Linked DNA regions of Neurospora crassa OR74A. The protein of the gene in region 1 purifies or fractionates together with the protein of each later gene. This does not show direct contact. Links are inferred from orthologs where the notes say so. Each region holds a gene or a part of one and is shown in the gene's direction. Other genes may lie near its edges. The genes, in order: NCU00225 and NCU06226.

Region 1 (16,859 bases):
ATCGAAGTCCAAAAGACAAACAAGCTCAATTCTTTACAGGACCGCGCCGAACGATTTGCGTGACAAATTTACCTAACCCGCAAGGCCGTAGCCAGGGGCAGCGGAGACGCGTGACCGACGGCTTTGTCATCGGAAGAACGCTCCACATCCAACTCCGCCTCTAGATACGGGCCGGTACTCCATTTGCATGGTGTAAACGGACCGGTAACGGTCAGTACTAGTGTAGTGTACGTAGTGTAAACCCGACACGACGACACATGGCGCAGATCGACAACAGCTAGGCACTGCAGATAGCGATGATGGGTTGGGATGGTGAGCGAAGACCGCGTGAGAAAAGATCAAGAAAAGGGCCAAGCGGCTTGGCGGTGAATCTAGATCTAGTTCTTCTGTCGTGCCTGGCGATGTTATCTTTTGGGGTTGCTTTGGGATGAGTCAAAATAAAAAGGATGGAATTTGTGGTTCCCCTGCAATGGACTTGGAAGTTGAGAACTTGAAGTTTGAGGAAATTGAATTGGGCCGCCTTTCTGTTGTGCGTGATGCCCTGGACTTGGAGTCAGTCGATTGATTTGTGCTTGGCTTTTACCTTGGTATTCACCTCCAGGTACTGTGACTACCGCAGTACGCATGATGGTTGATAAAAATTAGAGAAAAGAATCCCCCCTTTTTACGATCGAAGGTTTCCCGCATTCTTCGCGGTATTATTCAACTCTCACTTTTCACTTTTTCCCACACCAGTCCCTCCCCCAACTCCATCTCACTCACAAAGCTCATCATCTCCGCAGCGAAGTCGGTCCCTCAGGAAAAAAAAAAAAAAAAAAAAAAAAAAAAAAAAAAAAAAAAAATTCCGAAAAAAAGGAAGGAAAAAGAGAGAGATCGGTAGAGAAAGTCAGGGAAGCCTCGTCCGGGAATAAAGCCGGCTATAGTGCTAGATTTAGTGTGAGAACTTAACTTTCCCGCGGACCGCAGCCAGGAGATGGAAAATGTTACTGAGAACAAAAAAAAAAAAAAAAAAAAAAAACACTAACACGGTGTGGAGAAACACCGCTTACTTCTAAGGACTGAGGTACTATGCAGTATGTAGCCTTCCATGTTCGGTGATAACAACCGAAGAACGGTATGTACTGCACCTACACTAGGTAGGGATCCGCTATCCTAATGTAGTCCGCAAGATCTTCAGGTTCTTGTCGTCCCTCTCATCTACAATCTCTCCACCGAACTTTTCCTTCTCCACTGTTTGGGGAGCCCGCTGAGCCCGCAAAGCCAGTAGTGCCCGCCAAAAACTTTTTGCGGCATGTGGACACTGACTGACTGACTGACTGACTGACTGACTGACTGGCGGAGGAGGAGGAGGAGGAGGACAAGAGAGTGGAGATTTTTTTAAACAAAAGCGAGGTAGTATGTAGGTCCGCGGTCCGGTTGATTTGTGGAGAACTGGGTGTCCCTCCGGTGGACGACCGACCGGGGCTGAGGACCTACATATACATACACTACGGAGACGGGAACGGGGCTGATGGATGGAGAACGGGGGAACGGTGTGGGGAGGGGTGAACAAGATGACTGCCGGTTGGGATGTGAAAAACACCGGGATGGAGTGGTCGGAGGCGGCATGGAGATATTAGTAGATGGGAGGAGCTCATGAAGGCTCAGTGAGCTTGATGCCAAGGTTGGGTAGAGGAGCTTTGGGAGGAGGACACGACATGGTGGAGGGATGATATGTGATGATGTGAGATTACCTTTAAAAGTGGATGGGAATCTCCGAATTGATGAAGTGAGTTGGGAGTGAAAGTAAACAACGGGAACGAGGGTATTGGAAATTCCAGGCGAGTGCGTTCGAAGACTGTTTGTTCTGTTGGTTGTCAGAAATGTCTGGAGGCATAGAAGGTCTCAAAGCGAAGCGAATCCGAGCATAGGTAACGAGAATGTCCAAGGGAACAGATTGACAGTTCTGTAAACACCTTTCTTCGGTTTGGAGGATGCTTGACGGCTTCAACATAGCTTGGTCGAAGTAAACCCGTCATGGTATTAGTCTGATTTGTGGCATGATGTAGCAAATACACAGAAGAAGTGTCCCGCAAGATCAATTTGAATTTCGAACTTAATCAAACGTGGCGTTATTACCGATAGACCTTCGTCGTGCATCAATCGCTGATACTTTCCTTCCACATCCACCATTTATGTCTTCACATTTGAATGCTGTATTGGAACGTCATTGTCATTTTCCAATGCAAGAAGCCTTTGGAGGTTTTTGTTGATACGTAATATTTAGATAATGAGAAAGACTACCATGTCATATATGTGGGATCAATATAGGTTCCAGCTTCGTTGAATATAGCACGATCCAACACAAGAAGCTATGAAGGAAAAGCATGGTGATAATGAGGAGGAACCTACCTATAAACAGGCCGTCGAGTCTAGCAACTGTCGGGTATCATGGTTGTTCTCCAGGTTATCTACCAGTCCTTTTCTCGACTTAAGCAACATCTAGACGGTGTCTAGCCCTACAACTAACATTCCATCAATAACAGATCCAGGTGTGCAGTAATGCTGGTCCGTTATTAACCGTCTATTGTTCTGAGTTCGGACCTATGGAGACATAACGTTGCGTCCCGACAGGCCGAAGGTTGCATGTGGCCCTTCACAATTGTTTCCTTTTGATCAGCAGTACATTTCTGCTGATGTCCAGCTCATGATCCTGAGATGGTGGTGAGCCTATGTGGTTTGGTTCCCCTGAAGTCACTCCCGCCTAAAAACTGCTGGTTGGGAGATGATACATTGCTGAGCTCAAGGTATCCAGTACACGATCTCCAGGATTTCCCTTTGGTGGTGTTCGAAATCACCCTCAGTCGATATCTCGGATAATGTAGATGGACGCCACGCTGGCTCCACGTGCCGAAAGAAGATGTGACATATCGGGCGTCTTCAAAAGGTAGGATGGTTCCGTCTGGTCATGTAGCTCATGGGGTAAGCCATGACACATAGATACTCCATTCACGACCAGCATGTTGCCCCTCAACTCCCATGTGTCCCATTTGTAGTGTAAGGAGATCCTGGGAGTTCCGCGTACAAGTCACTGCATAGTCTGGACCGGTCTACCGCGTGATGACCGGTCCGGAAGGAATCATCCCCGGGTTAGGTACGGAACTGGAGTCAAACGGTGGTCTGGGGATCCGCATTGTTGAATTGAGTCCAGTGAAACCTCAGTTCCACACCGAAACGCTGCTGCCTGTGGAAGTGTGCATAGTGACTTCTGGTGGAGGCGCCGATGGTAGCCGTGTGTAGCCAGTGGACTTCTGTCAGCCCAGCCATCATGACATATCGACCTGCCCTTCAGCAATGCTGGGTTCTATCCGCTGAGCATCTGGATTCGTATTCTGCACCATGAAACGCTTCGAGAAGAAACGGGATGAGCATGAATGGTACATACTTTCCTGTTCCTCCAACCTGTCCAGTGTTGGAGTAGTGTAGAGCCGCAGCGGGAACCCTTCCATGCTTCCGCTTCGACAAGGTTCGGGTCGCCATCCTGGCCGTGCCGCTGAGGCGTCACTCGGCACGCTGACCGGTGGTCGCACAGATGTGACAAGCCCACCATCACGCTTTCATCACTCCTACCTCCTACTACCTCTTTCAATCGGCCCTGATGCTTGGGGAAGACTCTGGAAGGTTAAATCAACCCGAAGGCGGGCAGATTTATTTGAACTCATTTCGAATTCTGGTGGACAGGTTGCAGGGCAAGCCGAATGCAGGATGAGTCACACCCAAAGGAACCGTCGATCTCGTTGCCAAATGACAAGCTACCTGCTGTTGGACGACTCTCAAAGTCGGGCACAGCTCTCTCAACACTCTACTGACCAGCTAAATCATTCCTCTTTGGGAACTTCGTTTGTGTAGCTCCATGTAGAGCCGAGCGTTATTTAGACAAGAGAGATATTCTTTGAAGTCCTCTTTCCAGGCAATCTGGAGCAAATCGTGACAAGTATGTGGGCTCAGCTCGAAATTCTTGACCTTGCGCTCACAACGGACGTTGCGAGCATACTGCAAGTGAGTATCGTGAAACTTGGTGAGCTGTTCGTTGTCGGCGGAGGTGTCGAAAATGGGAGTGTCCTTCAAGCTCTTCTTTCTTTTTGCTGCTTCGTAGAGCCTGCGGCCTCAATACAGTGTGACATCTTTTCGAGATTTCAGCCATAGTGCTTGTAGGCGCAAAGTGTCCTACTTCTATGCTTTGTTTGTCGAGACCTCCACATTTGCTGGTTTGAGCGGTTGACATGTGGCTTTTGTATACATATTTGCCTGGTAATAAATAGACTTCTTGTCTTCCCGTGAACTAACACTCGTATCAAGCAAGACCTGGGAGGTACACGTTAATGAGGTGGGTTTGATTGCAACTTCTACCGACCGGGTTCTCTCCTATTACCCAAAGCCTGAGCTGTGGCTTTCGCTCACAGATGATGTACTGGCGTGTTTGATACAGTGGACAGAAGTATAACGTTAGAAGTGCTTCATAACAGCCTCCTCAAACATCCCTTGCCGATATCCAAGAGTAGGTGCATAATGTGGCTCAAACCTAAAGATGAATGATCGACAAACTCCTGAAGACAGATTTCGTGACCAGAACGACTTCTACCGTCAACGACTCATGTGGCTGCCCCGGTGTTTCAGAGTGTTGTGGACTTTGCATAGCCTCAGAGCTAAATATCAGCTCAAATGAAGCAAATCTGTCATGCCAAACAATGGCGACCAGGCTAGATAATGCTTCTCATCCAGTACATGCCCAACTTTCTCTGGCAACGCCGTGGAGACATTCTTAGTTGTCAAGAAACACAGAGACACACTGTTTGATACAACGCCTGTAAGTTGACTTCAAACAATCTGCCATGACTAACACGAAAGACTCGATGTTGGGTGAAAAGCAAGACACGAGAAATGCAGTAGAATCTTGAAAAGGCAGATGAAAAGGAGAGAAAGGAATTGCAGAGCTACACAACAAAGAAGGAAGTCGACTTGCATATTGATCATGATGAAATGGCTCTCCGCGACTTGTTATCCGTACAATAACTGGATTAGTTGATACCGATATCTCAGGTTAACTAACCTACAACAAAGAGACATTTGCTGATGGCTATCTTCCATTCTCGATGCGAGGACAGGACTCTAATGTGGTAAAGGTTATGTATTTTGCAGATGTATGTCCATCTCCGCCTCGAAGGGCCACGAGGAAGTAAACAAGTGTGTTAAAAAGGGGAGCTTCAATTCATGAATTCAACATCCATTGGCAACTGCTTCGACTGGCGAACGGTACTCGTCCTAATATAGTTGCTGTTTGAGCTTCGTCGCCACAGCGTCCACTCTCTGCCATGACTGTCAGATGCAAACCAACGGGTGAGTCCATCCAGAACCACACTTGTGGAAACGCATGCAGAGCCGCTGTGATTTGAGGGTGATGCGGTTCAACAGACACGTAGAACCTATACAACTTCCAACACTGTTCTACATCATGGCATATGGCAGACTTTCCAGAGAAGTCTTGAATGAAAGGAAGTAAGATAGAAGTAGGGGTTGGAAAAAAAAAACAGAAAGAAAAAGAAAAAAAAAGGTGAAAGGTCCACGCTGCATATCAAACTGCTCAAGTGGTCCGTGATGACCTCTCCAATGTGGCCGTGATCAAGCACCTGTTGGCAAGCCGTCAAGCACAGCAACCAAGGTAATACTTCCCCAAGAAAGACATGACGTCCGGTGTCTAAAAGCACGACGGCAATGCGTGCCTTTTTGGCATGAAGTCCGTTGACAGGAAGTCCGGGGTGCTTGAGGCAGGTCCGATCTCATAGAAGGCTGTCACCTCAGCAGGAATGCGTCAACTTGGCATATAAAGCGGCAGCTTCCGTCAGGTGTTTGTGACGGATGTGTTTCCAGTGGTTTGTTTACCTTGGTGACGATGATGTCTATGGTCGTGAGTGGTTGTCGTCGCAGCTGCAAACACTCTGCCAAGACTTGCCGGATTGGGAGCAGAGCTCAAACAGGCAAAGTTACGGCGTGTACGGATCGATACGCACGTCACATTGGTAACAAAGGGCAGGCAGCGTGCAAAGTGGTAGCCCTAACCACCAATAACAGCGGCGCACTGAAATTTCACCAAAAAGCCAAAACGGCAGTCAAAGTTGGAAGCGGGGAACAGCGGCAAAGAGGGCCAGAGCAGGGCCTTGGAGGGGAGATTTGGTGCAGGTGGGCGGGGCACGAGCGTCTCTGTGATCCGTGCCACTGCCAAAACCTGGTCCGAGCTCCCTGTGGCCCGGGAGCGATTTGCCAAAATCTTTTACGACACCACAGCGAGCATCAGACGTCGTTGTCGCTGTCGTCCGCCCCCCCTACCCAACCCCGTCTAGAAGAAGCGCATTGAGTCAGGCCAACGTCCTGTCAAGCGCAAAGATGTCGGTCGCTTCCAAGGTGTGTTTATCTCTCTCCCCGTCAATCTCCGAAATGGCCGGTTTCACGGTCGGCCGAGAGCTGCATGCTGTGCAGCGGATATGGATGACCCCGTGGTTGGACCTCGCCGTGAAATGAAACTGAGAGCTTCATTTTTGTTTCCGAGCGAGTCCGCCAACACCGGCTCCTTGCGACAATTTGGGATCCGAAAGAGGAGGGAGGCTTGGAGAATGGGGATCCAGACGCACAGCGAGCAGCAGCCGGCCATACCGCGAAAATCTAGAGCTCAAGACAGCAAGAAACTAACCGATTGCGATTCTTTTTCTACAGAACCTGTTCGATCTGCTCGGTTGGTTGCCCACCCTCCTGTGAATTACGGAACCCACGCGACGGCACACTCGAAATTGGCAGGGCGAGGAGGAACATTGAACACCGCAATCCAAGGAACCACCAATACTGACGGATCGATTGTTTTCATTCAGGCAACGACGTGGAGGATAACACCGCTCCCGCCGCCCCTGCTAAGATCGTCGAGAAGACCTCGACCCACACCACCAAGCGCAACTCCGATGGCGTCGCTCCCAGCAAGGCCCCCGCTCAGGGCTCTGGCCGTCGCTCTAACTTGACCGGCAACGAGGCCGGTATGTTGATCATCCAACATGCTAACCATGGCTACCCTCTCAACTGACATTTTCGGTCCCAGCTTTCCGCGACCGCAACGCCGGCAGCGACCGCAACCGTGGCAAGCCCACTGAGGAGGGTGCTGCTCGTGGTCCCCGCGGCGGCGCTAACGCCCGCGTCCGCGGTGGTCGCGGTGGCCGTCACCCCCGTAACACCTCGGATGACCGCCACTCTAAGTCCATCCCCTCGTATGTTCCGGTCAAGCAATTTCTAGCCACAGGCACCTCCGTCCACTAACACCCTGACTAGCGGATCCGAGAAGCAGGCTGCCCTTTCCTGGGGCGCCACCGAGGGCCAGGCCGAGCTGAAGGATGAGCAGGCCGCCGAGGAGATCGCCAAGACTGAGCAGAAGGAGGCCACCACCGAGGGTGAGGCCGCCGCTGAGGCTATCCCCGAGGAGGAGGAGGAGAAGCACGTCTCCTACTCTGAGTACCTTGCCCAGCTCGCCGAGAAGAAGGCCGCTCTCGAGGCCGAGGCCGCCCTCAAGGTCCGCAAGGCCAACGAGGGTGTCGTTGAGGACAAGAAGTGGGCCAACGCCAAGCCCCTCAAGAAGGATGAGACCGAGGAGTTCATTGCTGGCTCCGCCGGCAAGAAGCAGCGCGAGCGTGAGCGCAAGGTCAAGCAGGTCCTCGAGATCGACCAGCGTTTCGTCGAGCCCGAGCGTCCCGCTCGTGGTGGTGCCCGCGGTGGCCGCGGTGGTCCCCGTGGTGACGCCGGCCGTGGCCGTGGCGCTCCCCGTGGTGCTGCCCGTGGTGCTGCCCGTGGCGGTGCTCCCCGCGCCGAGAACAAGGCTGCTCCCATCAACCCCAACGATGAGTCTGCCTTCCCCAGCCTCGGCAACTAAATGCCTCTCAATATCGGCATAACGACCATACATCGAAGCCAGACTATTCAGTCACACGGCCCCCCCTTTATTTTCTCTTCGAGGCGGCAATGTCAGAATCAGGATGGCGGCGGGTTGGGATAAAAAAAGCAGCCAGCATGGGGTCGGTGTTCGTCTGTTTGGTTGCATTCACCTTTAGCGGAAAAGTGGTTCATGAACACCGGAACCGTGAAAGAGGTTTTCCTTATCTGTCCACCACTTACCGCGGAATCGAACAAAGTAAAACTGTTCAAGCTCGAAAGTTGAAATTGCGCGCGTTCGTATGACCTGGTTCCTCCCCGTATCTATCCCCTTTCCTTCCATGCATGAACGTTATACCTAGGATATATTTCACTTTTTACCCGGTTCAAACCGCAGACAAAGGATGGGATGGCAACCATCCAGAGGGCAAAAAGACACACACGCTATAGTCTAGGTGGCACTATGACATAGCTCGACCATGGCAAGGTCGTAAGAATGGACATAAGACAGGCTTGTTTTGGATTAACACCCAATATGGCATCTGGCAAAAGGCATCAGGCAGAGCAGCAATATCAAAACAAGTGTTTTGGATTCCTCTGGCAAAGGCACAACAAGCTGACACTGATCCGTGACTTGTACTCAACACTGTGTTGGCTGTTTAAGTGCACTTTTCGATGTCTCACTGGACAAGTGAAGTTCTTGCTGCACCGTGATCTTGAACTGACTGGTCGCCATAGGCACATAATAAGATGGAAAATCACTGACGATGATATTGACACACAAGTACTTGTAGTAGACCTTTTCATTTCCATTTCAAACTCCGAACTCGGCGGTTCTTACTAACCACCCCTTCACTATGACCTAGGTCCAGGTAAACAGACCACTCTTTTGTGTCCCTTTCTTGTCTTGTGCAAAACACCCTCTCCATCACAACCCCATGATTACTTATCCATATCACAGCCGCCATACCATACAAGACATGACCTGATGTACATTTCACTTCCATGACAACACTAGCGATATCTACCTTCAATCTTACAACCTTTCTCTCTCTCCATCCTCTCCAAGTTACATTCTCAACCTCGAGGTTCCCTCCCTCATCCTCATATGCTTCGAAGATGTGACACTGCCGGAGAACTCCAGTCATCCTGGCTTTCATATCTCAGACAAGCCAGAATCTGTGGAAACTTATGGTAGACTCTATGCTCGGTCCGACTTTGCACATCATCTAAGTAAGTGGTGATACATACAATCCATTTGCAAGAGACCTAGTGACGAAGTCTCCTGTTGCTTTCTCACCTCACGATGGATGATTCTAGATCCTTGAATACAACTCTGACAATCTGCATCAAGTTACATGCGCGCATCTGCATGCATGATGCTTTATGTCGGTGGTAATGCGCACAAACCCTACCGACAAGCTCTACAGAGTACTTGCTTGCACAACAAGCCCTACTTGTAGGTACTGCCAGGTGCGTACCTGAAAACCGAAGAACCCGAGTTTCCCGAGTATGGGATTATTCGGTCCGCATCAGACCGAGGGCTGGAATGTCGTCTTCAGTTCCCTGGAATAGATTCTGGTAGTTGGGTCGGTGAGAGTCCACGGAGCATGTCGTGTCACTCTATATTATGTCTTTCCTTGTCTATTGTCTTTTTTTTTTTTTTTTTTTCTCCAGGAATGTGTGTTGCGAACTTGGGGAGTGGAAGGTTTGGTTCTCGGGAGATGCTAGTTTCATACGAAGATGGGAAAAGATGGTTGGATGCAGAAACTAGAGAGTGAATCACCATGTCTTTGGAAGAGTAGCAGTACTCGATCACCGCTTCAACAGCGCCCATGCAACAGTACACATTTCCTTAAGCATGCACGATTCATATTCTCTGCAAAATTCATACATCATAACATCATCAACGACTTCCACCCTCCCCCTATCCTCGCCCATCTGGATCACACAACCTTACAACCGCCAAAACACTCAAAAGCCACTCGGCACCTGATGCCCATAGATCACTACTCCCCCCCTCTTCCTCTTAAACCCAAACCTTCCCGCATCAATCCCCAGACTGACCACCAACCAAACCACATTGAACCCAGCCATCATATAGAACGGCGTCCCCGTGCTCCACTCATCGAACCCATACCCGCCCGCCTTTGTCAGCAACAAGATGGCCGCACCTCCGCACCACGAGTAGACTCCCGCCACGGACCCCTTCAGCCTTACTCTCGACACCGTATCCTCCGGCAAAGCTCCCGGATTTTCTAAAAGGGGTGCCGTCTCGTTCCGGCTATCAGCTGGTTCAGTCACAGTAGCTACTTCGCTGTCCCTGTCGACGCGGTGCGGATGCGTGATGACGTTGACTACGTCCACCTTCAGCACACCTCGTCCTAGCGAGCCCAAGCTGCAGACGATGGCGCCAATTTGGCTGATGCCGATAAGTGCAGCGAGGAAGAAGACGACAGGGCTGCCGCCCCGCCCATCCTTGTCTTTGTACTCGGGGCTTTTAAGCTGGGGGAAGGCAATGTAGCCGGCGATGCCAAAGGTGGTGGCCACAATGATAGGGTAGTTGAGTCTATTCTGTTTGGTGAACTTGCGGCTAGAGAGGTAGCCGAAAAGAGGAGCGCAGAGGAGACCCATTAGTTGGGCGACGCCCGTGAGGATAGACGAGAGGATGTAAGCCTGGCGGCATTCCTTTTTCAGCTCTGGGGAAGGGTCGTTGGGCGAGCCTTGGCAGAAGCCGTTGCGGATGAAGAAGGCGTTGATGAAGAGGGGCATGAAGAGCGAGATGGCGACGGTGGAGGCACGGGCGACGAAGCCGCCTAGGTAGCCGAGGGCGATGTCGGAGTCGGTGAGGCCGAGCCGGATCGAGTCGCGGAGGAGGTGTAGGTAGGGATAGACTTGTTTGGATGAGTAGGGGGCCGAGTGGTCGTCGGTTCGGCGCTTGAGTCCGAAGAGGGTCCGGAATCCTTTGCCTTCTTCACCCTTGATGCCGCGGAGACCGAAGAAGACGAAGATGGCGACGAGGAAGGAGACGAGGCCGACGACGTAGTAACTGTACTGGACGGCTTGACCAACAGTGACGCCTTTGATGTGTCCAAACCTTGCCGGTAGAGGGAGGAAGAGCGAAAGAGCGAGGAGGGCACCGCACCCTGTGAAGAGCCCTACGTAGCCGGCCAACGCGGACGGCTTCCCACGTCCTTCGGGTTTCCCTTGGGTGCCATCAAATCTGAAGCCAGCTTCGGAGGTGCTGTGATCGCGGAACCGATCAGGGGTAATGGTAACCTCTGAAGCCACTGACGGTGTTATGCTATGCCTTGGGTTTAGAGGGGGGTTCTCGACAACATCTGTTTGCGCCTGGGTCTCGTCGGACAACGAAGGGAGGATTGCCGTGACCATGGTCGCCCTTTGTCACCAATGATGATTAGCTTTTGTCGTGGAACGCCGTGCTGAACATTACTTACGCAGCGGTAGCTCCAACAGCAAAGAGAATCCTCGCCAATAGCAACTGCGGGTACACATTCGTTGCTTGAACAAACACCAGCAGCGAGAGTCCAATAATCGCATAGCCGGTGACGGCAACATGTCTTACCCCGACACGATCAGACACCAGACCCCAGAAAGGGCAGGCGATCAAGGCGACAATTTCATCAACGAAGCCGAGAGTGCCGACAATGTCACCGACGCCATGCTTGACGCCGATCAAGTCGGTGATGACAAAGGAGACGCTGCTGTTGAGGAAGACGAGGAAGGAAATGCTGAAGAGGCAGATGCCCAAGAGGTAGGTCAGGGCTTGGAGAGGGGTCGTCGATGAGGAGAATGGGAGATGGCGGAGGAGAAAGGCACCGAAGTCGAAGGGCTGGCCGGGCCGGCCATCGGTTGGAGCCATTGTGTGGGTTCTTTGATATGGTCTGTTTTGGTGTTTAGTCTAAGTGCTGGGATTCCTATCTGGGCTGGCTAAGCAACCTAAGAGTGTTGATGGTTCGTCGATGTGTTTTGCTTCACATCGGTTCAATGTCACACGGTTTGTGTGGTCGTATTCTTCGAGGAAACGAAGCTTACAACGGCACTGATGGAAGTTCAAGCATCTGTCAAACAAATGTGGAATCACGAGTTATCGATTGCAACAAGGGAAGAAAGAGGTCGGAAGGGAGAAGAGCGGAAGCAGCATCGCGCAAACTGATGACGGCGCTGGCGTCAGTTACGCCCATCCAAGGAATCATCGACCGGGGAACACAGCCAATTAGAAGAGCCCAATCCCGATTTACATATGTACACTACAACCCTGTCGCTATCAGGGCATTTGGCTCGTGCAACCCTCGTGCAACCCTTGGGTTCAGTTTTGGACCGCGTCTGGCCGCCGCGCTGCGACATCTGCCCGCCCCGCAATCCGGTTCAGAGCCCCTCCTCCGCCGGTGTTCGTCTTTTTCCCCCGTCAACTTCTGGCCTCGGGGCAAAACGACATGAAATGACATGAAATGGCCACTAACGGTGCCAGATCCAGAATCCCGTCTGACTGTCTTTCGTCTTGTGTAGGTCATTTCCTCATACTCCCTCTACTCAGTAGTCCGCCCAGTCAGCCAGTACATGTGCAATGTACAAAAATGCAGGCGGGACAGTGATACGGCACATCATCTGGGGTCCCGTTCCGGGGTCCTGAATCGAGACCGGGATACCTGGCCGTCCCCGAGATCGGGATCCGCTTTATTTTTGCCGCGACCGGGGAAAGATAACAAAACCCTCTTGTCAAAGGAGAGTCGATGGTTTGTTTCAAGCAGGAGTCATACACCGCTTTGCTTTTATTTCCATTTCGGTCTTCTTTCTTGACTACTTTTCTCTTTTCCTGTTTTGAAGTTTGTTTTGTTTGTCTGTTTGTTTGTGCTTCTCCGACATCGTCGCCGTCAACTCGCCCGTCAGACAAGACACACAAGTGTCGTTCAATCTCTTCTTGTCGCAAAGAGAGCGCACTATTCACGCCATTAAACACTTCTTGACAAAACACCGTCTTCGACCCACCCCAGAGCACAAACAACCATGTCCGCCTCTCTGCCCGGCGCGCGCGCGCTTCCCGACTCGCAGTATGACTTGAGCACCTACTGGGGCCGCGTCAGGCATACCGCTGGCCTTACCGATCCGAGGTGAGCATAACCGCATCTGAACTGGGGATGGGACTACAAGGAGGGAGGAGGAAGGGGCCGGAAGAGAAGGGCGGTACATGCTGCCTAGATGACGCATTTGCGACCTCCTGTTGGCGCAAACTTTGGAGCAATGAAGGGCTGGATTCAGGACGGGACAAAGAATGTCTTGCTAACGTGCGCGCCATATTCGCAGGACGCTTCTCGTTGGCAATGCCGGTCTCGAGCAAGCTAAGCAGCTCCTCGTCTCCTACAAGCAGGGACAGATCAAGTCCATGACGCCCGACTTGTGGCAGGCCAAGAAGCTCGTCGACTCTACTCTCCATCCCGGTATGCTTCATCCGCCGACATACTCCTGAACGCATGCCGTTGCGCATGGCTGCGTCGACATACCTACAACCTAAGTCATTAGGAGGGGAAAAAGACACATAGGCTCACAAAATATGACATAGATACCGGAGAAAAGGTCTTTCTTCCCTTCCGCATGTCCTGCTTCGTCCTTTCCAACTTGGTCGTAACAGCCGGCATGTTGACCCCTGGCCTTGGCGTAAGTTGAAAACACCTCCCCTTCCCTACCTCTTTCTCCCTACATCTTCCTTTTACTAACTCTTTCCCCCAACCAGAACCGCGGCACCATCGCCTGGCAAGTAGCCAACCAATCCCTCAACGTTGCCATCAACTACTCCAACGCCAACAAGTCTTCCCCCCTCAGCTGGTCCAAGATCGCCCAGTCCTACTTCCTTGCCGTCGGCGCCTCCTGCGGCGTGGCCGTCGGTCTCAACAGCGTTGTCCCGCGCCTCAAGTCGCTGGCGCCCTCGACCCGTTTGATTCTCAGCCGTCTGGTTCCGTTTGCCGCCGTCGCCTCGGCCGGTGCCCTCAACGTCTTTCTCATGCGCGGCGAGGAGATGCGTACGGGTATTGACGTGTACCCGGTCCTGTCGGCCGCCGACAAGGCCAAGCTGGTTGCGGAGGGCAAGGGCGAAGGAGACGTGGAGAGCCTGGGTAAGAGCAAGAAGGCGGCGACGATTGCTGTGGCGGAGACGGCCGTCAGCAGAGTGCTCAACAGCAGCCCGATCATGGTTATCCCCCCTCTTGTCCTGGTTAGGCTCCAGGCTACCCAGTGGTTGAAGAGAAACCCGAGGTACACGACCCCGATCAACCTCGGTCTGATCTTGGTGACCAGCTATGCCGTGTTGCCGTTGGCGCTGGCGGCGTTCCCCCAGATGCAGAAGATCGAGGCGGATAGGCTGGAGGGAGAGTTCAAGGGTCGTGGTGGTCAGGATGGCTTGGTTGTTTTCAACCGTGGTATTTAAGAGGCGGCAAAGGGGAGCCGGTAGGTTCTGGTGGCATGGGTTAATTCCCTTTGTCTTGAAGATGGAGGACCGTGGAGGAGTGTGCACACAATGGGCAGCATAGCCTTGGAGTTTTCTTGTTCATATGGCAGCGGCAGCGGCGAAAAACGGCGGCGATATCCTGAAAAGCTATGTTGATTTGGTCAGTTCTTTTTTTCTGCTTTCTTGCCTCTGCCCTTCTCCGTTTGGTTGTGTTGTTCTTTCTTTTGCATTGTGGGTTCGTTCGCGTTGCTTCTGTTTCCCTTTGCTTGATGTCATAGCAATCATGGCGTTTTGGTCATCAAGAGGTGAGTCCTACAAACTCCTCCTCCATTACCCCAAGAGAGTACTAGTTGCGGATTCGTTGGCCAGGCATCTTTTTGACAACCCTCGGATGTTCCCCCTTGGGTTCGGTTTCGTGGAGTTTGATCACTACAGGTATGCATATCCAATACCGCTACAAGCTGACAATGCCGATAAGCACCGGATGCAGCTGGGGCAGAGTCCAGGGCTTTACCTAGGGTCCGGCACCCGTACCCTACCTAACCTCACTCTCCTATTTCCATGACGTACACCTACAAAGGCCGTCCCCCTCAAAAGCAATCAACTTTTTCTTTGGAGCCTCCCCTCCAAGAATCTTTCCGCAGTGCCTTCTTGTAATTCCGATCTATCTTTCCCGAAAGCAACGGGCATTATCTCCTCCGGTCACCGGCTGGTTTTCACCGAGGCTCGGCTTACCTTGCCATGACTGCTCTTCAAACTTGGTCAATGGTCACTGAGTAGCTCCTTGCCTCCGCCTTGACCCAGTAATGCTCTGTATTACCTCACCTGATGTTACTTCTGATCTCTTTACAAGCTACAAGTTGTGCTTCGTGGCACTGCTTGGTTACTTGACACTGCTTGACATGCTTTTGTCGTGCTTCAGTCAGCTTCTTGCTTCATCGTCTCCTCACTGCAAATTTGGGCCTGCGGCCTGATGCCGCAGGTTAGGCCAAGCTGGCCTTCTTCTTCAAATTTCCTGTTTGTAACATCTCGAAACATCATGATGGTGGTCAATTTTCGTGGTTTATCAACCGTCGAATGAAGGGCCTGTAGTTGGCAAGGCCCTGGAATTGATCTGGAGCTGTACGACCATCTGCGAGTGCCGCTGAGATACAGCAGCAGCAATTGTTGTCGAGCATCTTCACAAATTTCCTTTTACAACTGCCATGACTGTCGACTTTCGTGTTATAGCCACCGCCATGGAAGATCATTGACTTGACCTGGCCTTGAACCCCGACTTGCATCGCGACCGGGCTTGGACCTGAACCTGAACCTGGACCTGGTACAATCTAGTCTTTGGCCCTGGATCTAGAGGCTTGCGTGACTTGAGACAAGTCATCGTGGACCATCTTTTCCTGGTTGGTTTGATTTTCCTCAGCAAGAACAGGGCCGCAAGCTTGAAGTGTAGGAGATGGCTCTAGTTTTTGCTCATACAATATAATACTGGTATGTTTATCAGTTTGGTTCTTCGGCTATAGGTTGAACAGGGGAAATATAGAGCTCTTAGTGGCTCCCTTGGAGTTTTCGTTTGGAGCGACCAACAATGACTAGGGTGTAATACGCCACAAAAGCCTCTTCTTATGCCCCCATCCGTCTCCTTAAAGACCTCCAAGCTTGGATAATATAAAAGGGTAGTTCCTTTTCAGTGCCTATCTGTCTAAACATCGAATACTTCTTCACTTTCGGGGCTCTCAAGTAGAGATGGGCGTTTTTTGTACTAAACTAATAAACATATCAGGGTTATATTGTACTTAATGACCTAGTTCTGTGGCCCAGACCACTTCTTGTTCAGCCTCCTTGCTGCTCTTAATCGTAGCTTTTGTTTCCGTCGACGTGAGTTGTATCACAAGCCTGTGTGTTGTACTCTTCTAGCAGGATATGATGCTTGAGGTCGTCGACACGAGAACATAAGCCAAAGGAGCTTTAGTGGCTGAACAGGCATGATACCAAACTACCACGTCTATAATTCTTCGTGCCGTTGCCCATCGGCGAAAGGGTCCAGAACAGAGACCCTAATTGGAAACGAGCAGCTGACATTTGTGAGATGATAAGAAGCAGCAGAGGCCAATCCACCCTATAGAGCATGCTCAAACTGTAGAGTCGACGAAAGTCGATACCAATAGCCAAGAGGATGGTAGATGGCAAGATGAAGTTGTTGGCGGTAAACTTACGAATTTCCTTATTACAGAAGTTGCTTGATCTTATTCTATTATGGCTTCTCCCATCATGGCAATTCTATTGACATAGAGGTGAGGGTATGGATGCTCGAATTAATTACAACACTCGATATCTGGAACTTCGAGAAGCGGAATTGTACGCTGATGCCAACATTACCACGTTACCTCGTTGGATTTACTACCTCCAGAACGGTAAGGCTGTAAGACCTCTCAATCATTGTTAGCAAGCTTTTCGATCT
Region 2 (16,192 bases), about 1.1 Mb from region 1:
CGACATACTCCCACTCCCGATATGACTGAGAACACCAATGTTGTGGTCATCCGATCTATCGGCTCCCAACAACGGTCGAGTCGAGTGACTTATTGTTAGATGTCGTGACTGATCTCGATTGTGTGCGTTCGAATGGTTCGCAAACCTTAGACCAAGGTAATGGCAAAGTTGTTGCGTGACGAGCCAGAACGTAGCTCTTCCTTGCGAAACGGCCTGTCGTTTCCAACCTGATCTGATGTTCTCCTCCACAGGTAATAGACCAGCCGTTGGGTTGTCTTGGATTCCACCATCTCGTACCCGATCGATTCCATAATAGCCGCTAACCTCTCTTGATCCAGATATCGCGAGTTGGTGACGCATGGGGCCGGTAGCACAAGGAACAAACTTGGAAAGAATGCAGCGGTTGTCCCGGAGAACCGCTTCGGCGATGTTAGAAATTGTGTCGTGCGGACCAGCATCTCGCCTCTGTCCTTATGGTCTGGGACAAAGTTGAGCACCAAAGAAAGGCTGATGATGTCAAACTTCTCCGACTCGTCCTTCGGCAACGGGCGCTCCATGAAGTCCTGCTCAAGAATCCCAGGCTCTTGGCTGTTGAGATCGATCCGAGTGATGTCGAAATGGTTACTTTGAGCACATGCGTTCTTTGTACTCAGCGCTCCAACTTCCAGCATGCGCAAGCGGCCTTCCTTATACTCCTCGGATGAGAGGTACGGCCCAACCCACTCCATGAGCACGTTGGAGCTGTCGCCGCCTCGGTCATGTCTCTGCCCCTGGAGACTTGCTTCCTGATATTTCTCGATACCACCCAAAGCCTCGATCTCCGCCTCAATTGCCGCGACCTGTGTGTTATCGTTCTTCTTCATAGCCTGCACCTTCCTCTTCTCTAGGAGATGGAGTTTGTTGATGATGGATTTCGTGGTTTTCCGCGCAAGTGACTTGGGCTTTGTGACCGTGGGCGGACGGCCTGCTGCCAGGTTTTTGACCACTCCCTTTTTCTTAGGTCGCGTAGCCATGGGCGGACGCCCAGCTGCAAGGTTCTTGCTTACTCCTTTCTTGGGTGCCATAGTCCTTCGTCGCGTGCTATGCTGTAACAAGTATATAGCCGCAAATAGTCGATCTTGTCGATACTGTGATCCGTCTCGGTGAGATTGGTTTTCGATTTCGATTGGTGGTTCGTGACACTGTAGTTAGCAAGACAACTACACCACGTCCTTGTCTGGAGGTCGTGATAGGCACAGAACAGCGAGGCTTGGAGCTGTGAAAATCCAAGGTGTCCTGCACCGACTTCATCCGACAGACCACGAGCAGAAGGAGGAAAGCTGGATCGGAGGGCGCATCATGACCTTCAAGGTTGAATGACGGAGTGCGTAGCGATAAAGTGATGATCGGAGGTCGAGATTCAAAATACTGTGGAGCATATTTCGCGAAAGTGGATATTCTGGTGTGGTTCAGAGCCCGTTTGCGCCAGTTTGCGCAGCTCAACCCCTGCCAGTACCACTTCAGCCACACTACCAAGCCACACAAATCCCGCGCGCACACTTTTTCCTCCCCCAAATTTTGGCCAAAAAGTGAACTTTCTCCTCTCCGACAACGACCAGCGAGAATCCCGATTTCTTAGCCCGACGACAGCAGAAATCGCAGCAATGGCCCCTAAGGATACCAAGAAAGGTACTTGAAGAAACCTCAAAATCTCACCAGCGACGATTCCACCAAGAATGAATTGAACGGCTCGACAAATATGCTCGCCCCGCGCACAATGCGGATCCTCCGTGTCGCGCAATGGCATTCGGAGGTGATGCACCAAAGCAGCAGCAGACTTTGCGAGTTTGGACAAGATTCTGGCATCATCTTGCTCCAGGCGAATGCTTTTGCTGACGAGGGACTCTATGGATAGGCGGTGCCTCTAAGGCCGGTAAGGGCGCTCAGGCCAAGAAGGCTGCCCAGGCTGCCCTCAAGGGTGTAAGTTTGCGACGACTCGCGATCCCTTCCCCCCTGGTGACGTTCTGATGCTGATTAGAGTTCTTTTTCTCTGTTTAGGTGCACTCGCACAAGAAGACCAAGGTCAGATACTCGACCACCTTCCACCGCCCCAAGACTCTTCAGCTGTCTCGGGCTCCCAAGTACCCTCGCAAGTCGATCCCTCACGAGCCCCGTCTCGATGAGCACAAGGTCATCGTCCACCCTCTCAACACCGAGGGTGCCCTGAAGAAGATCGAGGAGCAGAACACCCTCGTCTTCATCGTCGATGTCAAGGCCAACAAGGCCCAGATCAAGCAGGCTCTCAAGAAGCTCTATGACATTGACACCGTCAAGATCAACACCCTGATCCGGTTAGTTTTGGTCCCTATGGACCGGCATTAATATGGTTCTTGTTGCTAACTCCACTCACAGCCCTGACGGTTCCAAGAAGGCCTTCGCTCGCCTCACTGCCGATGTCGATGCCCTCGACATTGCTGCCACCAAGCTCGGCCTTGTCTAAACTAGCGATTTCATAGCTATGGGAAATACACAAGATTCGGGATAAAAACTATCTTCAAGGGATACATGGGTTTTACTGTTTAACGAAAAAGAAGTCGGCGTCTGATACCCCTTTGGCGTTTGGTCCATGGCATGGAAATGAAAGTTTTTATAACTATTCTGCCCGTTCCATCAGACATGACCAAATGGGCCATTATCCAAACTCCTCCCTTGCAAGCCATAGATCTACTTGCTCTAAGACTTGAATCTGACATCTTGTATTCTTGCTATCACCATGGACTCATTGTCGCATTGTTATCTGCACTTCTATAACCAATTATCCTGCACTGCGCATTGGGTCTGTGTTTGAAGATGAAGATGAGTATCCCGCTATCGCGCGCTCCCATATCATGCTACAAGAACCGCCTGTCATACTGTCTAAGTTCCTGAACAAATTCCCATGCCCTATAAACCCTTTTCCCTTCCAGTTCTACCTTTGATCCTTCCCCTGTCCCATCACATATATCGTACAAGCCTTCAGGCGTAACCGTAACAATTCCTCGAATGACTGTCTCTTAGAATTGTGACCAGAACCTCAATCGCAAGCCCTATCGCAGGGATCAACAAAGGTTCCCTAGCAAAGGGTGCTTCTCTGTACCCCCGTTCCGTCGTAGTAAGCCCGAGTGTACCAGACCCAGCCAGAACCACCATGAAAACAAGCGTCGGATACCTCGGCCGCATCCTCCAAGTCTCCCAAGAAGCCCACCAAGCAGGACCAGCCAACCGAAAAACGTAGCCAGCCAGCCCCGCGGGACAACCAGTTCCTCAAGGGAAACAAGTCACCGTTTTCGCCATCCTCCTTCCTCTGCCTCCTCTTTTCTTTTTGTCCCGTTCTCATCTTTTTTCCTCCTCCTGATAAGCATCCTCCCACGCCTTCCTATCGGCGCGCGAGACCTACTTGCTGCCACCCCTGGTGATCTTTTGCACGTGGGCCATGATGGTCAGGTTGACGTCCAGGAAGCGCTCAACGCAGTCCGCCATGCAGACGGCCTCGGTCTTGTCGAGCTGGTTGGTCTTGATGGGGGAGGTGACGCATTTCTTCCAGCAGGAATCGGTAAGGGCGTGGGTCTCTACACGTGGGAGGTAGCATGTTAGTTTATCTGTTGTACATAACCACTGGGAGGTAGAGTAATGTGGGAAGAAGCATATGGAAGGGGGAGGGGACAGAGAGAGGGTATGGTTTTGGTTATGGTTATGGGAGGGGGGAAAGAGGGAAGTGGTAGGTAGGCTTAGCGAGGGGCAATAAGCTGTATTTGGTCATGGTAGAGGGACGAGGATATGAATGAAGCACTGCAGGACGGAGCCGGAGATCTAGAAGGTTGTAGATGGTACATACGTCCTTGCACCCTCTGGCGCTGCGTCTCGTTGGAAATGAAACCGCGAAGCTCGTTCTTGTCCTTCTCGTTGAGGAGATCGAGGTCGGCCTGAGGAATATCCATTGTTGCTGTTTTGTATTGGGCAGGGTTATGTGTTGCGATGGTTATACAATAGTTGCTTAAGGTTGTGGTGGAAATAATTCGATATCAAGAATTGAATAAACAACCAGAAGAGGTTCGATATCACGTAGCGTGCAATTGGATTGGATGCGGGATGGACCTTTCCAAGCTTTTGGGCGGTACCTGCCTGCCAGGTGAGCACCGCGACCGGGGATGTGGATAAAGATTCTTTTGAGATGGGTAGCCAATGAGAGGACTACATTTTATCGATAGCTTTAGAGTATCTCGGCGTGCAACTGCATTCGAGTCGATTACGTACCGCACTTCACTTTCGCCACTACCGACTTTCAAGCCTTTGAAACACCAAGAATCGTAAAATTTACATGCTATCCAAGAACCTCAACGATGTTTCCTTCCTATGTAGAATGATAGGATCGAACAATACACAGTGACCACATAGCACAAATTCAGTAGAATATTCAGAACTAACTGCCCTCACAAGAAACTCAGCCTGAGTCAACACTATTATCAAACGTTTCGGGGTATCTACCAACGCATCTATGGTCTATCCCGTCAAGAAAAAAAAAACGGTATACAAAGCGATAGTACCGCCACACTCCCATGTTATAACAGCCATGTTATCGACATTGCTTGGCAGCCCTTTCCCTGTATACCAAAAAAAACGAGAAGCTATTAGAAAACGGTTCCACATTTCCTCGCATGAGACTCCAGCCCATCGTTATTTATATCAACTTTTTGTGCTTCGCAAAAATGTACGACAAACTGCAGAATGAAAAGAAAAAGGCCAGAATAACGTAGAAGGGGACCATAGTCTCCATGCCTCCCCATGGGACGTGAACGTTCATGCCGAACAGACCAGTCACCACGTTGAGCGGGACGATGATGGAGGCCAGCAGGGTGATCTTGCTGAGGACACGGTTCGTAGCAGTTCCCTGGATGATGCCGTCGATGGAAATCTGAGCGAGGTAGTTGCTGTGTGCACGAGACAGCATCTTCTCGAAATGGCCCAGGTTGGTCATCATGGTCACTACGTGGTCCTGGATGTCACCGAGGTATAGACCAATGTCCATACGTGGCGTGACTTTGTAGTTCTCGTTGCAGCGCTTGGTGAAGCCCCTGAGGACATCTGCTTTTCCGCCGAGCAAGCGCATCAAGCCCATGACATTCTTGCGAGCAATGCCAATCTTCTTCAAGAACTGAGCCATGTCGTCGGACCGAGCAATGAACACATCGTCCTCGATCTGGTCGGTTTCGTGCTCAAGTTTGCTGATTTCGGGAGCGAACGAATCGACAATGTCGTCACTACGTATGGGTTAGTATACGCGTCCATCGAAGGAATGGAAAAAGCGCATCTGCTCATTGCCATAAACTTACATCAGGGCGTAGCAAATCCAATCGCTACTCAATGAGACATAGTCCTTCAGCATCGTAATTCTCTTCCTCACATGTGAGGCATGGGAATTGTTGGCGTAGCTGAAGCTCAATGTGCCTTCGCGAAACACTACCACGTAAATGTTGAAGGGCACGTACTCCTTTTCCCCGGTGGTATCCTCTACCTCAATGAAGAACGATCTGAACGAGGCGAAATAGTAGGATGGGAAAAGCTCAATCTTCTCCCGGGATTCCTGCGTGGTGATATCCTCAATTGTCAAGGGGTGGATGCCAAAAGCTCTGCAGACGGCACGGACTTCTTCTTCGGAGGGATTGTTCATATTGAGCCACCAGACTCCATCAGTCTCCCCCTTTGGGAAACTGAAAAGCCCTCTAATGTCCTCCCCGGGCAAAATCAAACCCTCCAGGTCGGCAGCGTGGATCGTGGATTCCCAAGCTGAGGAAAAGAAACTGACCCGGCTCTGGTCAACCTGAGGTTGTGGCGGTGGTGGAGTCCTTTTGGCCTCGGCATCGTCGTCTGTCTCATGACTCTTTTCCCGCCGAATATCCGTCTCCGAAGGGGCCGAAAGGATATCCCCATCCAGTGTTACCATTGGTACGGTGGGGGTAACATCGGGCTCGGCAGGCCGCAAATCGGGGAAGACACGGATGGCCGAGGGGCGGCGAGCTGACTGTCGGGCTTCATTCTCAGCCTTGATAAAGGTCTCCAAGTAGTGGAAATCGATATGCAAGTTGTCATCCCTATGATCATCTTGCAAGGGGAAGCAAACGTCTTCCTCCGCGGATTTGTTGGTGGCCAAGCTGGCGGTGTCATCAATCACCGTCGGCTGCTTGCTGCGGTAGCTACGGCGACTGACGATAGAGTTAGCCCGCTGCAGCTCGGGTGGCTCTTCGACTCGACGCTCAGGTCTCGTTGGCTCGGAGAAGGAGAGATCTCGCTCCCTTCGGCGTGCTTCCGCGAAAGCCTTAACCGAGTTCGGGGGTGAGATAGACCGAACATCTAACACAGCAGACTCTACAGTTCCTCGCCGATCTCTCCGATAAACTGGCGAGTTCTCCTGATCCTCCTCGTCAACAACAGCTTCCTCAAAATCTCGGATCCTTGTGCCCTGGAACGAATCGCTGCGTGTTGGGCCCGTCTCAATCACCTGTCCTGGCCCGTATAGAGAATCGAATGTTCCGCGTCGAGGACGGTCGGGTCGTTGGACAGAAACGGATTGGTTCCGGTGGTCGTCAAGTTCGGGCACCGGGGTTGAGTACCCGGAGTTCCCCACGTTTTCCTCCTGGTCAAACATCGTTGCGACAAGCGGAGTCGCTTCTTGGCTGGGTGGGTTAAATTAAGTGTGATATCGGTTGTCTTTGCTATATCGTCGTTGGTGAAATAATTGAAGGGTCGGCTATGGCCCTCAACGCCCGGGATGGGGGGTGATCAGTCGGTTCGCATATTGTCGTCGAAAGGTCGACTCAAAAGGCACCAGCGGATGGCAGCGAACGGCCAGGAGCCGTCCGCGACGATGACCGAATGGCGCAACAAGAAGGGGGACAAAAGGGTGTCGTCGTCAACGTCGGCTACCAAAGCGCAAGATCGGAAAACATAAATTGCAGATGTTTGTTCAAAATGGGAAATCTTGGTTCGAGCGATGTCGAATTAAGGGGGTTTCTTGTCCACTCCACTATAGACCCAGAAGCTGGGACCTAGGAGCGAACGAACAGCCGAAACGCTTTCACGGATAGAGCCCGCCAACTTGATGACTTTTGCTGGAATGACTGGCGGCGGCGGCGGCTGAATCGGTACGTGGCGTGATAGGCGATGGCTGATGTGAGGCCTTTCTCAGCAGCAACCAAGAATTTTTTCGGATGAATACGAGGTCCGACGAGGGAAGATTGAGGTAACGAACTCGCGCCGGGCTGGGGATTTGGATCGGCTGATGGTCAATGAGGTCGAAGATCCGCCCTTTCAAAACCGCCGAAAAGCCCAAGAAGGGATAGGAGTAGCGAAAAGACGAAGGTTCTAACAGAAGCCCGAGAAATGACGTTGCTGGGGAATGACGAGCATGTGTCTGCGCATCAGCAGTCTCGGGGGGGGCCACCAGCGGAGATACCTAGAGAAGGGATGACTGGAGTCGGCGTCGTACTCTGTAGCACAAGCTAATCGAGTCGGATATGTTGAACACGGAACCGCGATAATGAGGTTGTCGGCGTCGAGTGTTGAAAGGTGGAAAAGGGTCGAGGTCGCCGCGCTAAGTTTTTTTTTGGGGTTTGGTAAAAAGACAAGAGTGGGACGGAAGGTGCCTGACTGTTCGTCGCCTCCACACAAGGCGTCGGGTGGTTCCGAGGAGACCTTTTAGTTGTGTGCCGTCCTAAGGGAAGGGTCCAAGTTCACGGGGCAAAAAGCGCAACGGAAGGAATGATCGCTTCTGGCCCGATGAGTTTCCCTTTGTTTGGAGAGTCGTTTCAGGGAAAGCCAGGGTAAGTGGTTGGTTCAAGCACGTGCTAGGTTTATAGGTAGGTTTAGATAGGAGACGGACAAAGGCAATTCAACGACACTTTTCCATGCTAGCAAAGAATATTATGGAAAGAGAGGATGGAAAGATTTACGGTAGATTTGCCCGTTCGTTCTTAGCCTCTTGTACAAGGTTAGGTCCCGGCGGTGTTCCTCCTTGTCAGGTCGCTGGACTGCAAGGTGAAGGGAAGCGGTCATCGGACGCCTGACGCACCAGCAGCACCCTTCGCCGCAAGACATTGTAGTCCGTGTGTAACCTTTTAAGGATCTTCCCTTGTTCAGCAAATGTTCTCGAAACTACCTATGATTCCACGAAAACAGGAATACGGTGTTCTGATATCGAATCGTCGATGCACAATTGAGGGTAGCTGCCAATCAGCTAGCACGGCATCCCCGACAAATCGGCCTTGGAAGTTGGATCCTGATCTCCCGCGTTAGATTTTACTGGTTTCAAAATCTACTTGCAGCACTGCTGCGTCGTCGAGAAGTCCCCCACTTTGCTCACCACCTTCACGTTTCGTTTCCATTCACTTCCTGTTGAATCCTTTTCCGGCTTTCCACTCACAGCACGCAGGGCACTTTGTTCCCTTTGACTGCGGGACGTGGATCTGGGCGTTGGTTACCTACCTGTAGGTTGTGATTTGCCCACTGCCAAGCCCAGCCGAGGCCGTGTACTGTCGTGGTACGGTAGCAGTGCCACCCAGTAGTAGTAGGTAGGTAGGTACGTATTATACACTACACCTTGTAAAGCAAGTACCCCTAGCGTACGGCACGGGCAGCCTAAAGGAGGGCCCGACCGGGGCAGGCCCCGAAGCAGACACGTTGAAGTAGAGGTACCCAGCATGGGCATCCAATGGAAGTGGAAGCGTGATGCGATGCGCTACAGTAGTATGGTGTACCTGGATGAGATCTGATTTCCTCCCATCCATGCAAACCTCAACACCTTGATAGAACCCCAACGATAATCATACGCGCGTTTACAACTTGTAAAGCAAATCTACCACTCATCACTGTCTAAGATCCAGTGTTCGACGCTCTCGACAAGTCGAACAGCTGCCCCGATAGCCGCCCATTCTCGAACCTCCCCGGCATAACACTTGCCTCACGATGGCTGAACAACTGCTGGATCAGGTCCGCGATGTTGCCGAGGGCCAAATTGTTCGTCATTCTCGTTCAATACCCGTACCAGTGTTCATCTTGTATACGACAACTCAGCTGACATCTGCGACATTCAGGATTTCGAAGGCCAGAAGCTGGTGGAACTTCTCGTCAACGTAACTCTGGCGCTTACAGGTGTATGTTGTCCCTTATTCAAACGCAGCCGGCGCCTCGCTGACAGGCCTTTGGTCATCAGGTTGTCTCGTTCCTCGTCGGATATATCTTGCAAGACATCAAGCTGGCGCTCCAGATCGGACTTGCCGGAACCGCCCTCACCTTTATCCTCGTCGTTCCTCCGTGGCCGTTCTACAACCGCAACCCTGTCAAGTGGCTACAAGTCGGCGGCGGGCTGGTACCGCCACAAAGCCTGATCGTAGATGAGAAGAGTTTCAGGTAGACTGGCGTTCTTGTCGCATCGTCGCACGGTTCAGGTGTACGTCCGCGAGAAAGGAGGTTGAGCAAAGCAACATCATCAAAGTATGATGCGCCGGCCATGATATTCATACTGCTGCACGGTGAAGCATGCTCGCTGAGCCATGCTCGATCTGGCGTGGCCCGCTAGCTTACATTCGTGGAAGCCTCTTAACGTGTGATACTCCCTGGCTTATGCTATCTAGACTTATGAAAATTCGCAGACGTTGTCTTCATCCGTGTCTCGCCCTTCAGCATGGTCGAGTAGCCGCAAACAGGCATCCAACTCCTGATTTCCAGGCCTTTAACGGCCGTATTTCTGGAACTCCCAATCTCTGTTGTCGAGAGGGCATACTTGACGCGCCTTGAGCCATCTCGAGATGCAATGGAAATGGAACGCATGCTGTGACATTGCCGGTTAGTCATCGGGCTCCAAGGATCAAACAGAGAACAGACCAGAAGGACCTTACATTGCAAATACCCCACGCAACCGTGCATTCTTCTGAGGTGGCCGATGACTGGTTGGCCTGGCACTCAATACCTAAGAGGATTCAAAGTTCAAGGTTAGTCCAAAGTCGGGTGTGTCCAATAGTCGGTTGTCAAGAGGAGAGTGTAAAGAGGGGACTTACACAGATCCATGATATGGTTTCGACAGATGGCACAGTTGTCGACGACAATATCCCAAGCCCAAAGGGCCACCGCGTTCCACTGTAAACATATCTGTAAGCGCAAGGTCATGACCATACGAAGGGGTAAGTGCTCACCTTCTTGACCTCGAACCGAGGCTTGCCATCTGCCTTCTTCCCCTTGCTCTCGGCGGCGGTGTTCTTCTTGACAACGGGCGCAGAGGCCGGGGCGTCGGTCATGTCGACATCCGCCATGATGAAGCTGGTAAATAAAGCCCCGGGTGTTTAATCGGTCGTGGCGCAATAGTACGAAGAAAGTGCTGCGACGCAGGCGAGCATGCGCAGGATAAGTCGAGGGACACACTGAAAAGCTCGACCAGTCGATGGAGTAAAATGATTCGTTTGGACGAAGAGGCAGAGTTCGTAAGTAGTCTAGAAAATTTCAAAGCAGCCGTCAGTCCGTTTGCCCGTCATGCGGTGGTCGGGATGATTGAACTATGAAAAGAGTCTGAGGAAGGCGAGGTAAACCCGCCTGGGCTGTAGAAAGGAAGGCGGAAAGCTTCTAGGCAGTTGAAAGGTATACCTAGGTAGTCTAGAAGGCTGAATGCGTACCTCTACCTTCCCTTCGAGATAACGTGAAGTGCTTTCAGTTGCGGTTACTCAAATAATAAGTATCGCCACGTCCTGGGTGTTGGGTGACAAAGTGAAGGTAGCACAGCTTGCCCTTACTGTCCTTAGTTGTTGTAGGTATGTTGATCCCGTCAAGGTTGCCTACCTAGGCATCTTAACCAGCACTAAACGACGGCGGGAATGTCAGTGGTGTGGACGGGAAGCTGCACACTGCTGCTTGATTGCAATGACGCTGGGGATTCTGGGCAGTGATGCGCGCGATAGGTGGACCAGTGAACCGCCTTCAAACTTGGCTGACCCCGCTCCCCTAGCGTTTAGAGTCATGTATGTGTTAGGCGCATAGCATCTGCTGCTTTTTGCGGTGGCGGCTGTCAAGTGTCAAGGTGTAACTGGTAATGAGGCTATGCTCGATTCAGGACGGGAGGGAAATGAGAACGTGTAAATGATAACGGCCAGAGAAGAGGAGCCGGGCTGGTGACCGGTCAAGTACAGCCCCAGGCGGTCAACGGCAGGGCATTGCACCGAGCGCTGGGCTGTGCTTCGTCGTTCGTGCGCTGATGTTGATTCCCCCGGTGCTGGAGGCCGGATCCCCAGGTTGCCTCCATCACCATCCCACCTCTTCCACACTTCCGCTTCTTCCCTATTGTCGCCGCAGCGCAACATCACTTCGGAATCACAGCGACAAACCACCACACAGTTCGCGACAAGAACAACATGCGCGAAGCTATTACCGTCAAACTCAGTATCGCCAATTCGAATAGTATTATTTCCCGCACCGTTGTGCCAACAGAGATCACCGCCACCACAGCCCGTCAACCAGTGACAGCCGTCTCGTCAGGCTCCGATCGCATCCCCTTTTCCCACGTCCCTATCTCGTAGCCGTCAAGTCACCACTCGCCAGCCAGACGCCACGTCCAACTCACACCGGTTTCTCACCCAGTGTGTCATCGCTACTCGCCTCCATTGCACCCCAGGTCGTCGCCCAACATTTGTCTCGCCAGTTCGCACACGCTTCAGTTGTTTCGCGGAGGAAGGCACCACGCAGCGGCCCCTTGCTTCTACATTACCTTTGCATACCTCTTCGTTTGAACAGAAAACAAAGTCCAAGCGCGACTACATTGTGCGCTGCCTACTTGTGATGCAACGAGAACAGCAACAAGACCAGCCGGGACCCCTCCCAAAGGCAACTCCCGGACGACGCCGCAACAACCGCCATGCCGGCAACGCTGTCGCTCGCAGAACATATGCTTCGGAAAACGACATGCCGTCTGAAGGCTCCTATCCGATTAACTTTGGCCCTGCCGCCCCGTTCACGCCGCACAAGTCGGGCACCAAGTCGGGGACAAACAGCCCGGCTCCGGAACCCCAGGCAAACGGCTCTAGGCCCAAACCCCGTTCTACCAAATCCTCAAGGTCCAACAAGCAGGCGTCCACAACCTCCCCGGCATCGACACCGGGCCCATCCAAGAACTACCGGACCAGTCCTCCGCAAACAGCGGCTCTGCCCAAGTCGGTCTTCCCCCCTGCCTTTGCCGGTGGTTCCTTCCACGCCTCCCCGGATCCGTCGGCGCTTCCGATCCCTAGCTTTCTTGCCAAGTCGATGGACTCTCCCAGCGTCAAGGATACCGGCCGAGCCAACTCGGAGCCTTCGCCTCCAGCCACCGACTCGGAAGCACCCACACCTCAAACCCGTCTCCCCGTCAGTGACATTTCCCGAGAGGAATCTCCACTCGACTTCTTCTTCCGCGCCGACCGAGCCGAGAAGGCGAGAGCTCGGAGCGGTAGTTCAGCCAACATGTACGCTCATAGCCCGAGCTTGTTCTCGCCCCAAGGACAAGGCCTATCACCTCAGGAACCCCGGACTCTCCCTACTGGCACGAGCCTACATGGAGCCCGGTTACACCATTCGGAGCCAGCCCAGCCGAATTACTCGATGGGCTTCTCTACCGGTGAAGTAGGCGGAAACCCATGTCGCTCTATGGGGCCAGCTTTTTCGAGACCCTACCAGGATCGCATTCGTGATGCAAGGTCGAGCGAGGGGCACACTGGCGTTGCCTCGAGCGTTCCTCGGCAACATCAGCAGCAACAGCAGCAGGAACCTAATATGGACCCTAGTGAGAAGCTCAAGAGATTCCTTGCAATCCCGGCGATTCGAGATAGTCAACCGGCAAATCAACCACCGAGCCATCCGGCGAGCCAGCACACGTTCCCAGGCCACTTCCGTGGCGGTGAGCTTCATGGCAGGCAACCACCACCACCTGCTCCATTTCCTCAGGCAGTCGATCAACAGCGGTCCGCAGACATTCAACACATGGAGGATAGCCTTCGTCGGATGCTGAAGCTCGACTCTCCGGTGAATATAAGGGCATCGGCAACTAACTATCAAAGCTCTTGATTCAGGCGTACCATCTATTGTCCATACCGCCGGAGGGTTTACCTTGTTGTCACATGAGTGTCGACATGTAGCATTTTCTTTACTTGTTGCACATTTCCTTTCATATCCGTCATCTTAATATCAGGCGTTGGATGGTGACGGTACGATTCCCGGACTTTGCAGATTTTACATGCATGCGTCAGCGATGGATCCGGTGGATTTGTGTTTGGCATTGGGTCTGTCCGATTTGTCGAATCACTGGCGTTTTGGAAGGTATCGATGGTGTACCGACCATGATTTCCGGGTCTATGCCGTCATAGGATAGACTGGCTCTTGAATCTTTTTTCTTTCTCATTTCTTATGCTGGCTAGCATATCAGCCTATGTTTCGGGCTCATTGTTATCTGTGTTGCTTCTTTTGTCTTTTTTGATTTTATTTTTTCTTTTTTCCGTCTCGAACATTGCGAGGGCGAATTTGGGTCTATGTCATTCAACATTTGGTACGAGTGTGGTCCATTTGACTTGCTGCATTGCGGCATTGGTTTTTGGTGATACCCATACCGTCATTGGGAGTTGGGCGGGATTTGGACCCTTATTTTCATTTGCAGGCGTGGCCTGTTGTACGAGGGGGGTTTTGGTATGATACGCATAGAATCATGGGCGTTCAACAAAGGGGGAACTCGGAGTTGTCAAGAATCGGACGACGTTTGGAAGACCATCATATTCGGGGGTTTTTTAGGAAGTCAGGAAAGGAAAGGCACGAAAGGGACCCTACGCCAATGGGATCCGTACATACACAGCGAACTATACCCGGTACTTGCACGCCACACACCACGACACATTATCTAACACGCACGTATACAACATATAAATCGAAAAACAACCAAAAAAAATATTTTTGGAGGGTGATATATGGTTTGCCAGCTTAGATAGCACAAGTAGTTAGACTTAGTTTCGGAATGTCTCAAACCATTTATACCCTCCACCACATTGGTTCAGCCAAACTCTCATTGTCTGTCAGCTGTGCAGGACGAAGTCGGTGGCTGATTCTTACCCAGTTCACTCGGAGGACATCGCGTAGAATCATTGGAGGTCATAAAATGTCCAATCGTACAGAGAAAGCGGCCATGCATGGAAAATAGAAAGGGTGTAGTGACTACCAACAGGTATCTGATATTGACATCCGAGTCTGGCTCTCGGATCAGTGATAACCCTAACCCTTTTTGTGTTGGATGTGCACAGCAGCGTCAACAGACAGGAAACGATCGGGTGCGTGGACGTTGAACGACGGGATGACGTGGAGTCGCGAAAGAAGAAATTTGGTGAAAGTCGATAGAAAGAAACAGCGAGCATCTTACCATTTCAGTGCTGATTATTGTCGTCGAAGCACCATGATGCTCGAATTTCCTAGATGCTGAGTGTCCTGACAGTCCTCATCTTCAAATCGCATGCATGATGAGGCCTCTGCTTCACATTCGTACACCCCGCTTTCAATCGTCTTGTCCGACAAACACACTCCCGCTCTTGCCTACTACTAGTTTACCAACAACACCTTGGGAGTTTTTTCCCTGACTGAACGGAACGGCTATCCTTTGTTTTTTTTTTTTTTTTTTTTTTTTTTTTTTTTTTTTTTTTATCTTGCATGACGCGTTTCGTCTCAACATTCATCTTCCACTCTCCTAAATTATTTCGCTCTCTTTTTGTCGCAGCTTTCTTTTCGCAGTCACATCCTACGCACCTTGGAAATACCATTTTTACGCGTCCCGCCAGGATCTCAGCCCCCGACAACCTTTTCGGTCGTCAACACTATTTTTCTCAACCAAACTACTTCTCTTGCTTCTGCACGACTTCACTTACGGCATATGCAATGGCCGGCCACAAGGGCGGCGCACGGTTCAATGATGCCGAGGACATATCCGATGACGAAGCACTGCGCGTCGCTATCGCTCTGTCACTTGGTCAGGATCCTGTCAAACCGCGAGCTGGTGGGAAGTCAAGCGCTACAATTGACCTAACACAAGACGATGAGGACGACGATGGAAGTCTGAGTAAATCAACCATTCAATCAAAGCCTGCCGCCCAGGATACCAAATTATCCCCACCCAGCAAACAAGCATCTACCACCTCTGCGCAGGCACACAGTGTATCAGCACTTTTCGGCCTTGACAGGAAGAAGATGGAAGAGGAGCGTCTCGCTCGCTTGAAGAACAAACGACCAGCTTCATCAGCTTTCGAATCTCCCAGTCCGACCACCGCCCGTCCCCATCAACGTTCAAAAATGTCGACCAGTAGCTACCACAATGCTACTGGTCCACAAACAATTGCCGATTTGCTACTGCCTGAGTCTGATGGAGACGAGACGGCAAGCTCTCAAGGGTCCAGCAGTTTGCCGGTCACGGGCCGCATGGTCAAAGCCGGGAAGCAGCAAGCAAATCCGCCAGAGTCAGGAAAAGGAAAAGTGGCAGCAACGGCAGCAAGTGCGGAGAAATACTCCATTGCCGGCACCACAAGCGGTAGTAGACCAAGAACAGAACTATCGTTTCCTCAAGGTGCAGTCAAGAAAACGTGGGTCCGTGGTCAAGCGAGGAAGGGGGACGACATCACGATCGAAGAAGTCTTTCAGAAGGATAAGCTGCAGTTGGCAGTGTTGAGCACGTTTATCTTGGATGAGGCGTGGCTGTTCGACAAGCTGGATTTGATGAAGACCAAACTGATACTATGTCGGGGTGCCCCTAATCAAGGGGAACAAATCAGTGTAGGTTCAGAAAATCGGACACCTCTGGAAGCCCCGAGGCAGGCTGGCATGTTTCTTCACCTCAAAAAGTCATGACATGGTTAACGTGTTCCTTTTCTCATAGACCTGGTTGGATGGATTCCCAACGGTGCGGAAGCATCTTGTTCCCATGAACGGTTCGGGATGCATGCATTCGAAGCTTCAGCTGCTCAAGTACAAAGACCATCTTCGCATCGTTGTGCCCAGCGCCAATCTGGTGAGCTTCGATTGGGGTGAGACGGGTGATATGGAAAACGTGAGTCTACTACTTCCAGTTATTCTTGAGCCGCGACAGTTACTAAAGGCCCCCTGCAGATCCTGTTCATCATTGACCTCCCTCTCCTTGATGATC

Evidence for each region.
Region 2: the proteins of NCU00225 (region 1) and NCU06226 purify together in Saccharomyces cerevisiae (affinity purification with mass spectrometry; 4 studies listed by BioGRID). This does not show direct contact. The link is inferred for Neurospora crassa OR74A from reciprocal best matches to the Saccharomyces cerevisiae genes STM1 and RPL25.

What each region holds. Positions count from the first base shown.
Region 1 is NC_026503.1:3,070,307-3,087,165, forward strand, and holds NCU00225 (hypothetical protein), read left to right. Parts: upstream 1-6,262; 5' UTR 6,263-6,420; coding exon 6,421-6,438; intron 6,439-6,747; coding exon 6,748-6,766; intron 6,767-6,899; coding exon 6,900-7,058; intron 7,059-7,120; coding exon 7,121-7,286; intron 7,287-7,347; coding exon 7,348-7,942; 3' UTR 7,943-8,722; downstream 8,723-16,859. Other genes in the region: NCU00224 (hypothetical protein), read right to left, coding at 2,840-3,047, 3,425-3,519; NCU00226 (MFS transporter), read right to left, coding at 9,916-11,341, 11,400-11,824; NCU00227 (mitochondrial cation transporter), read left to right, coding at 12,970-13,073, 13,267-13,400, 13,523-13,617, 13,694-14,383. UniProt on the Saccharomyces cerevisiae protein: Ribosome preservation factor that protect a small pool of nontranslating, vacant ribosomes in cells under nutrient starvation conditions.
Region 2 is NC_026503.1:1,952,438-1,968,629, reverse strand, and holds NCU06226 (60S ribosomal protein L25), read left to right. Parts: upstream 1-1,467; 5' UTR 1,468-1,643; coding exon 1,644-1,668; intron 1,669-1,894; coding exon 1,895-1,959; intron 1,960-2,037; coding exon 2,038-2,330; intron 2,331-2,391; coding exon 2,392-2,479; 3' UTR 2,480-2,970; downstream 2,971-16,192. Other genes in the region: NCU06227 (hypothetical protein), read right to left, coding at 147-1,064; small zinc finger protein Tim8, read right to left, coding at 3,412-3,587, 3,854-3,956; NCU11312 (CorA family metal ion transporter), read right to left, coding at 4,697-5,276, 5,349-6,661; NCU11313 (microsomal signal peptidase Spc12), read left to right, coding at 8,977-9,027, 9,105-9,164, 9,224-9,424; NCU06224 (RING-box protein 1), read right to left, coding at 9,637-9,841, 9,909-9,979, 10,068-10,146, 10,203-10,231; NCU06223 (hypothetical protein), read left to right, coding at 11,409-11,569, 11,635-11,710, 11,788-13,089; NCU06222 (tyrosyl-DNA phosphodiesterase domain-containing protein), read left to right, coding at 14,935-15,822, 15,926-16,096, 16,156-16,192. UniProt on the Saccharomyces cerevisiae protein: Component of the ribosome, a large ribonucleoprotein complex responsible for the synthesis of proteins in the cell.